Linked DNA regions of Oryctolagus cuniculus. The protein of the gene in region 1 binds, or shares a complex with, the protein of each later gene. Links are inferred from orthologs where the notes say so. Each region holds a gene or a part of one and is shown on either strand. Other genes may lie near its edges.

What was found. Proteins that work in one complex are often made in the same cells at the same time.
Region 2: the proteins of BMP2 (region 1) and RGMA are in contact, whole or in part, in a crystal structure (PDB 4UHY), measured with the Homo sapiens proteins. The link is inferred for Oryctolagus cuniculus from reciprocal best matches to the Homo sapiens genes BMP2 and RGMA. Residues at the interface, in NP_001191.1 of Homo sapiens: Val308, Gly309, Trp310, Asp312, Trp313, Met371, Tyr373, Leu374, Asp375, Glu376, Lys383, Tyr385, Met388; in NP_064596.2 of Homo sapiens: Arg91, Arg94, Gly95, Leu97, His100, Ser101, His104.

What each region holds. Positions count from the first base shown.
Region 1 is NC_091442.1:31,667,695-31,672,551, reverse strand, and holds the start of BMP2 (bone morphogenetic protein 2 precursor), read right to left. Parts: upstream 3,055-4,857; 5' UTR 2,993-3,054; intron 1,816-2,992; 5' UTR 1,809-1,815; coding exon 1,466-1,808; intron 1-1,465. UniProt on the Homo sapiens protein: Growth factor of the TGF-beta superfamily that plays essential roles in many developmental processes, including cardiogenesis, neurogenesis, and osteogenesis. Induces cartilage and bone formation.
Region 2 is NC_091443.1:3,419,271-3,423,328, forward strand, and holds part of RGMA (repulsive guidance molecule A), read right to left. Parts: intron 1,837-4,058; exon of another isoform or gene 1,698-1,836; intron 1,524-1,697; exon of another isoform or gene 1,496-1,523; intron 1,211-1,495; coding exon 1,083-1,210; intron 1-1,082.

The DNA.
Region 1 (4,857 bases):
AATCTTCCTCTCAAAGTTATGAGAAAGACACCATACCTTCCTAGCCTTAAAAATGAACGTTAAGAGGAGACCTATCCAGCTAACTCCTATTCCCTTTTTATCCAGAAATACTATTCTAATCTGTGTCAACTGGAAGCGATGAACCTGTAGTCATCTCATGGTTACCATGACAGAAGACACAGGAAGGAAAACCTTTCTCCTGTAACAACAAACTTCTGCTGTCAGTGGCTGAATTCTCAACAGATAGAAAAAGATGTTGATCCTCAGATCTTCAGAAAACACTTTACTTCAAAATGTGCTGGAACACGTGCTACCAGCTCCCAGCTCCCTTCACTGTGACAGCTGGGATGAGAAGTAGCTTGTGTGATGGGACCTGCCTTTGGGACTTCTTCTCATTATCACCCATCGTTCTTGAAAACGTCCCACTGAGAGAAAATTGTTTTCGTCAAGGAAAAGGGAACATCAGTCAGTGCAAGTGGCTGTTCTGTGATCTGTAACTCCACTCTTTTCTAGAATTCGCAGGAATGCATTCTGTATTTAGAGCTATTAAGCCAAAGGCACATTTAAAAGAACAAAAGAATGGAAATGTAGCATGTAGTTGACTAACGGTGCTAAGAAGTTAGGTGCAACAGAGCTCCATAGCTGCCCTAAGACATTTCAAATCCACTAAATGCCTTCCTGATGAAACCAGCAGAAATATCCTACCTTAGGAAAACCACATCCAGGATCATAAAAGAAAAAAAAAATCACATTTCAATGCATGTGAAGGAAGACAGGCAGCTGCTGCAAAAGGTTTTATCTGAAGGCTTGCTTTGTCTCTACTCTGAGCCTATCTCAGATTTAAGCACGAGACAAGAAAGTCATTGTGGAAACAATAAGATTGATTGTGGAATTGATCTCCCACGGGGATTAGATAGGGATTCGAAATCTTCCAACGCAGGCCCAGATCCACTGTAAATTAGGAAGACTTGGGGGCCCTGGGCTTTGATTTTTCAAGACTATCTGAGAATTCCGCCCTTGCCTCAGTCTAGCTTGAAACCCTGGCTTAAGCTGGAGACACAGATTTATGGAGCAAGGGCTTCCAAACAGACTTCAAGAAATCCCAAACCTCCTCCTTCTCCCACTGCGGAATTCCTGCACGCTTAGCTGACCAGGGGCATGCCTTTTAGCCTCGTCTTCCCCATCCCTTGATTCCGCTCTGGTTCCTGGAGGAGGAGTCGCCCTCCTGGCTGCGTGCCAGGAAACGGGTACGGACCGACCAAGGGGGAATCCCTGGCTGGCCCGCCACACGAGCAGTGCCTGAAAATCAGATTCAGAAAGGTCGGTACGGAAGCAAGAGGGACAGCATCCGCAGAGCTCTGGCTGAACTGCCTCTCCAGGGATGCCCGCAGCCGGCCTTGGTGCTCGGCGTTGCGGGTAGCAACCCGCCCGCGTCTCTGCCCCTGCGGCGCGCGCCTCGCCTTACCTTCGTGGTGGAAGCTGCGCACCGTGTTGGCGCGGCTGGCTGCCCTCTCCAGCCGGTGGTCCGGGGCGGGCGCGCCAGGCTGGCCGGAGTGCCGGCGGTACAAGTCCAGCATGTAGGGGGGCACCACGGCGTCCCTGCTAGGGGTGGGTCTCTGCTTCAGACCGAACATGCTGAGCAACCGCAACTCGAACTCGCTCAGGATGTCGTCCGAGGGCTGGGGCGAGGGGCGGCCCGATGACGCCGCGAACTTCCTGCGGCCCAGCTCGGGGATGAGGCCGGCCGCGCCGCCCAGGAGGACCTGGGGAAGCAGCAACGCTAGAAGACAGCGGGTCCCGGCCACCATGGTCGACCTGCGGACAGGGCCGACGTGAGTCACCCGAGTTCCCCGCCCAGTCCTCTCCCTTCCCGCCCCCGCGGCCTGGGCTCCCGCTGCGCTCGCTCGCCTCCTCCTCCAGGGCGCCCTCCTGCCTTGCAGCACTTGCTGGCTATGTCAGAGCGGCCACAGCTCTAACGTTTGGGGTGGGGTGGGGGAATGGAGGGCCCCAAGTTCCTGACCCAGAGCACTTTTCTCTCTCCCACCCCAGCCTGGGCCCGTCTGATACTTGATTTGGGGGTTGGCCTTATCCCTCGCTCCCTCCCCACTGAACTTAAGTGGTTGTCACTCCCCCCTCCCATACACACACACACACACACACACACACACACACACACACACACACACCAGAGCTGGCAGCCATGCAGGGAGTCTGGGGGATCACCGCTTGATCTGACACCCTGCCGCGCCTAGCCAAACTCAGAGCGCTCCCTTGCCTATAAACGCGCGCGCATGTGACTTCCTGAGAACCGGGGCACGGAACTTCCTGAGCCACAGTTCACCACTTCCAGACCCTGCAAACTCAGGGCCACGACTTCTGAAGCCGCTTGGCGGTGGCTGCCCGCTGGGTGTCGGGACGCCCCGCTCCACGCCCGCCCGCGAGCCCCCGGTGCGGTCGCGTACGCAGGTACCTTCCCGGCGTTACATAAAGGGCCGATCTCCACGCGCGCACGTGCCAGCGGGGAAACCCACGGCGCGAGCGGGACCCTGGCCCTCTAGCGCTTCTAGCAACCGGCGGAGAGAACCCCTAACGCCCAGCGCTTTCCTACGGGGGACGGGGCTCTGATGGAGAGCGCGGGTCTCCCCCAGAATCTTGATGAAGACAGCGCCGTGCCACGGCGTACAGGTTGGCAGCTAACGGGTGAAACCCAGGGGCCATCCTCTCCAAGGCAGCTCTTTGACTTTTTAATTTTTTAAAAAAATCATCTAAGTGTTAACAGCCTTAATAATATATCGAGGAAGAGCGGAGGAGGGGCGGAAGCGTGCGGGCGCGGGGAAAGGGGGCGCCCCCGCCGGGCTGGGCTGCACGTGGCCCCGGAGAGGGGTCTGTTTACGTCCTGCCCGGCCGCGCCCCGGAGGGGGGTCCGCCGCCGCCGCCGCCGCCGCGCGAGCCCAGCGCCCGCCCCGCACCCCGGGGCCCGCGCGTCCCGTACCTTTAGGAGACCGCAGTCCGTCTAAGAAGCCCGCGGGGACACGTCCATTGAAAGAGCCTCCACATGGAAAAAGCTCTGGCCCAGGGACCTGGCGCGGGGACCGGGCGTCCGCTCCCTTCCCGTGGCCTCCGGCTTCTCCTCCCGGCGCCGGCCGCCGAGTCCCTCTCCTCGCGCAGGGCGCGGCGTCCCGGGCTCGGCCCGGCAGAGGGCTGCAGCGCGGCGGGGCTCGGAGGCAGCGAGGCGGCTCCGCCGGGGCGCGGGCACCGGCGCGAAGCGGGGAGCAGCGCAAGTTAAGGCTGCAAGTTCAAGAAGTCTCCAGCCAAGTGCTGACACACAACAACAGCGAGCAGGGGGAGGAGTGCGGGCCGGGGAAGGGAAGGGAAGGCAGAGAGGAAAGGCTGCTGCTGTCGTCGTCCTCAGGCACCAGCGCCCGCGGGACGCGTGGCCGCGCGCGGGGCCGCCTGCGGGACTCCGGGGGGCGAGGGTCGGGCGCTCAGCGCTAGCTCCGCCGCGGCCCATGGCTCGGGGCAGCCATCCTGGGCGACGCCGGGTCCGGGGAAGGGCACAGCGGCGATCTCGATGCCCGGCGAGCTGCCCCCCCGCATCACTCTGCCTGCCGCCAGCGCACCCCCATCAGCGCTGGCCAGTGGAAACAGCCGCGGCTCCGGCGCCCCGTCGTCCTCGGGCGCATTCTCCGCGAGCCCAGCCGAGTCCCGGGCCGCCGAAGCGGGTGGCCGCGCTCTGCCCTCGCTGCTGTCCTAGCCCTCGGGCCAAGTGCCCTTTGTGGCCGGCTTGGGGTCCGATCACACCTCGGCTGGCACGTCTCGAGCCCCCGATCCCCGGCAGGAGGTGCTCGGCATCGCGGCGCTCGGGCTTGGCTCCGCACTCTCCGGCGCTCCGCGCGCCCGTCCGCGGCTCCGGCGCGGCCCGGGCAGCCGAGGCCACCGAGCTGTGGCGCGCAACGGCCGGGTGCTCCAACCCGCGAGGGGTCTGCGGTGCGCGGGTGCCTCGCAGCGCCCAGTAATCCGCGCGGCGCTCGCCTCGAGGGCGCTCGGGTCGCCGGCGGCGGCTGATGTCCGGCGGCGGCTGCCAATCCCCGGCGGGGTGTGGGAACCGGAGCGGCGGGCGCAGCGCGAGCCGGGCGCAGCGCGGCGGGGCGAGGACTCCGGCGGCGACGGCGGCGGCGGCGGCGCCGTGGCGCGGCGCTCGCGGCTTTTAAAGGGGACGCCGCCTGCTGGCTCCCTCCCGGCCCCGGCCGAACACCTCCCCCTCGGCGGCACTGCTCGCCGGGGATCCCCGAGCGGGCGGGAGCGGCGCTCAGGGGTGTGGACGGCGCGCCGGGGGCAGCCGCAGCGGGGTGGGGCCAAGGGCGGGGGCGCGCGGCCGCCGAGGGGGGCGCTGGCGCTTCCACCCCCCTGCCCTAGGGCCGGAGATGTCACCCTTGTACCCGACCCTCGCGTGTTCTCCGGGGCTGAGATGCGGGGCGACGGCAGGTTCTGGCCTCGGTGTCTCCACCGGGCCCGTTATTCAGGTTTCAGTTTGAAGTTTTTCAGAAAAGAGCTCAGGGAAGTTACAGAGCATCTTGGTGCAGACGTGGTGTGGTAGACGCTTCTGTATTTCCCCGGCGAGGGGAAGCTGGAAACTGGCCGATATTTAACACAGAGACATCTATGTAGCTGCAGATGGAAATCCATGTGTGCGCATTTACAGTTACATAAATTTGGGTATGCATTTGCACTCAAACGCGTGTGCGCGCATGTGTGTTCATGAAAACATACCTAATACACGCGTGTGCTTCCAACCAAGTCACACGTCCCTTTAAACCCGGGTCTGCGGGTGTGACTTGGCCGTCTCTTCCTATACAC
Region 2 (4,058 bases), on another chromosome or scaffold:
CCAGGCCAGCCTCCCGGCCTGTCTCCTTTTAAAGGCAACGGGGGCGAGCTGGGCACCCGGCCGCCCACCCCAGCAGGGCAGGCTGTCACCGTCCAGGACCTGCCGCCGCCCACCCCACGGTGTCCTGGGCTGGGGTTTCTCCAGCGGGATCGGGGTGCAGGGGCTGTGCCCCGAGCAGGGCAAACTGGAGGTGTCCCCGGGGCTGCGCCCTGCCTACGTGGTCAGGAGCTGGGCTGCTCAGGTCTGCCAGTTCCTTGAAACCCTGCTGGCCCGGGAGCAAAGCAAAACAACTCAATCCGAGTCCGATTCAAGTCCTTTCTTGCAAAAAAGCTCCGTGGCGCGCTGGGGGATGCAGCTCACGCCCGCGGCGGCGGCGGGGAAACAGGCTTTTTTTCTTTTTGCAAAAAGACATCTCGGAACCCCGCAGCCCAGCGCGGCGGCCCGAGGCCCGGGACACTGTTTATTTGTGTTGCCAGTCGGAGAGAATGGGCAGCGGGGGCTTCCCTGGAGTTTCCAGGCTGTGAGCAGCATATGGCAAAAATGAAATAAAGTTTTACGGAACTTTGTAAAGAAAACAGCCCGGGGATTTAAGGTTCGTGCTCCACTCCCCTCTCCACGAAGGGGGGAAGAAAGCGAGGGCCGGGAGGGCCGGGCAGGAACAAACGCTCCTCTGTGGAGCCCGGCTCCCTGCCCCCAACCAAAACAAGAGGTCCGGGCTCCGAGGAATTCGAAAGCAGCGATCTGCCAAAAACGCTGTGAAACACTATGGCGGATTCATTGGAAACAGATGGGCTTTCTCAGCTTGAAAGCCCAAAGTCTCCCCCTCTCTGACACCACGCACACGCGCGGGGTTAGCCAACAGCGCCCGCGCGCCCGCCGGCCGTGGGCCTCCCCGCGTGGGCGCGCGCGGGTCCGGCGGGGCCCCGCCCCTGGGCGCACGGCAGGTCCGCAGCCCCAGCGGAGCGCGGGGCCGGGGCCGGGGCGCGGCGACCTCCCGCCCGCTCCCCGCCGTCGGGCTGCGGCCCGGCGCGAACAAAGGCCCGGGGCGGTGGGCGCTCCGGGGGCCGGGGGCGGCCGCTTACCTGCCGGGAAGCTGCAGAGCAGGAAGGCGAGCGTCGGCCAGAATCCCAGGGCTGAGCGTCCTGCCCCTCTCCCCATGCCCATCCATCCAGCTCGGCCTGCTGCCACGAGCCTCTCCCTGGAGGAAGAGCTGAGAAGAAAGGCACGGATCAATCGCGCTGCGGAGCAGGGGCCGCCTCGCTCCGCCGGCGGGAGCAGCGAGCCGGGAGGCTCGGTTCCCCCAGGCCGCGGCGCCCGGCGCGCCCCCCGCCCCGCGCGCCCCTCCCCCGCAGCCAGCACCGGGCCCCGCCAATGCGGACGCGGCCGCGCGCCCCGCCCCCGCGCGCTCGGGTTTCAGCGCGGCCCCGCGGCGCGGGGCGGGCAGCGGCGGCGCCGGCGCGGGGACCTGGGGAGCCCGGGACCCCCAGCCTCGCACCGTCCCCGCGCCCTTCCGCGCTCGCCCCCGCAACGTCCACTCCAAGTGGCCGCCGCCGCCGCCCCCGCCCAGTCCCCTCCCTGCGCGCGGCTGAACACCCCGCTCCCGAGGCGTCGGTCCGTGGGACGCCCGGACCCCGCCCGCCGTGCCCCTGGGCCCTCCATCCCGACCCCGCGCGGGATGCGCCCCCGAACCCCGCTACCTCCCGGCGGCCGCTGCCCGGAGGGCCTCGGGGTGTGGCGGCCCGCGGCTCGGCCAGTCGCTTATTTTCCGCGAGAAGAGCGGCTGCTGCCCAGGCCGGCGGCTCTAGCGCCCTGGTGATCCTCCAGGAGCTGGCCGCGTCCCCCGAGAAACATCTTCTGGACGAGACGCAGAGGCCCAGCAAGTGCTTTTGGTCAAACCCAGCGCGCCTCGGCCCCCCGCCCTCGCGCCCAAGCCTGCTCGTCTGGTTCTCTGGGAAAGATCTGGGGTTTCATCCAACGTGGATGCCTCCGGAGCGCCCGTGGCAGCCCTCGCTCGCTCGCTCGCTCGCTGCAGGCCACACAGGCAGCCGCGCTGCGCCCGGGGCTGCGGGAGGCGCGAGCTGTGGGTGCAGCCAACAAGGCCCCGGGTCCTCGCGACACGACCCCGCCCCCGCCCCCGCAGGGAGGCCTGTGGACCGGGCTGCGGCACCCCGGATGAGAAGGGCGCGGGAGGCGCAACACGTCGCTTCCCTGCCCGCAAACAGGTCTCAGAGCCCACCCCGAGTGCCAGCGCCCCTCTAGGCACCGGTTCGCCAAGTGTGCGCCCCTCTAGGCACCGGTTCGCCAAGTGCCGGTGTCTGCAGTACAAGCGCCCGGCGCCGAGGCTGGCCCAGCTGGAGCTGCTTCTGCAGACTGGCAGGTCGGCAGCCGGGCACACACCAGGCCCCCGGGGGCCCGCGGTGCTGCAGCTGCCCCCCTGCCTCTGAGAGGGGGCAGCAGCCTGGATACGGGCTGACCCCGTGCCCCCTCTCCAGGGGCGGACTTGGCTCAGGCCTGGAGAGGTGGACAGCCTTCAGCCCCACGGCCCTGTCCTCCCCAAAGGCCAGGCCCACAGCATGGCTGCCTCAAGACTGCCCCCTGGATACGGCCTGTCCGGGGCTCCAGGCCCTGGTGGGTGTGCCTGCTAGGAACTGGCAGCCCCCCTCCCCACAGGAGACGCAGTCACTTGGAAAAGGGACGCAAAGGGCTTTTCCTTCTACGCAGGGAGGAACGCCTGAGGCTGAACGTGGGGGTCCCCAAAGTGGGGATTTGGCTGTTGCACAGTTTATGGACTGCGGAGAACAGCCCAGCCCCACACAGCGCAGTATGGGCTTGTGCTGACCTTGGGCCATCTGTCTACACTGGCCAAGCCAACCAGCTTGTGGACAACTCCCCAGCTGTCTGCAGGAGTGACATCCTCCAAACGCCGGCTTCAGCGCGCAGAGCAGAGCTGTGCCCTGCACAAGCCATCCACGCTCACCGAGCTCCAAGAGCGGCTGACAGCAGCAGCATGGCGGGGTCCCTCCGGCTTCCTCCCCCAGGCTGCAGCCCAGGCTGGGGCAGAGACCCGCTCCTGGGTCACGGAGGCCCCACGCTGTGGGGGTCTGGGGAGCTTCTGAGAGGCAGGCAGTGGTGGGCAGGGATCCCAACTCCGTGGACTTCTGAGTGTGCACACGGAGCTCCTAAATCCAGGGTGAAGTGCTCAGTGGAGACCCACCGAGCGAGGCGGTCCTGTTCACAGACAGCCGCAATGGGCCCCGGGGCCGCGTCGGGCCACAGGGAAGGGGAGTGGGAAAGAAGAGGGGCTGTGAGCACCTTTTCCAAGAAGGCGCTGTTTTCAGGCGTCTGGAAGGACTCATTTTAGTAAGAGCGGCTGCCGTTCTGACGGACCCTTGTGCTGTGCCCGGTGCTAAGTGCACCCCTAGACGCTCTTAGCTGCGCTAGGGTCTCCTGTCACCCCTGTGCAGATGAGATGTCAGTGCCCACCCCATCGCTGGCTGCGGTGTGCAGGGTGGGGGGCCCCAAGCCCACGCCAGTGAGCCGTCTGCAGCGGGGATCCCCCACTGTCACTGCCCCCTTTGGAAAAGCAGAACCAGGCCTGGCAGGGGCAGCTGGGGCTCGGGGAGAGACCTGCACCTGCGCCAGGGCGTGGCTTGCCTGGGGACTGGCAGCTGAGCAGGACGGTGGCGAAGGCCGTGAGGCCGGAGACCATGAGAAAGCCGGGGAGGGGCTTCTGGGGGATACAGACGCCAGGCTCCTTCCAGAGCCCCTGAATTTGAAGTCCTGGGGGTGGTGGAGCCTGGGCAACCCCATTTTTAAATGAGCATCCTCGGTAACTAACCTGGGGGCTTCTCTCTCTAGATCTGTGGGTTCTGTTAAATCAGGGCCTCATCAACCTTGGGCAGCCAGGTGGAGTAGCCTGCTCATCCTCTTGGGCCCAAGGTCAGGAGCACAGTGACTGGCATGTGACCCCGCTGGACCAGAACCTCTGCAGGCCACTGCTGTGGGGGAAGCCCCTCTGGTCTCCGAGCCCGAGGCAGGATGGGCGGAGGGGCAGGGAG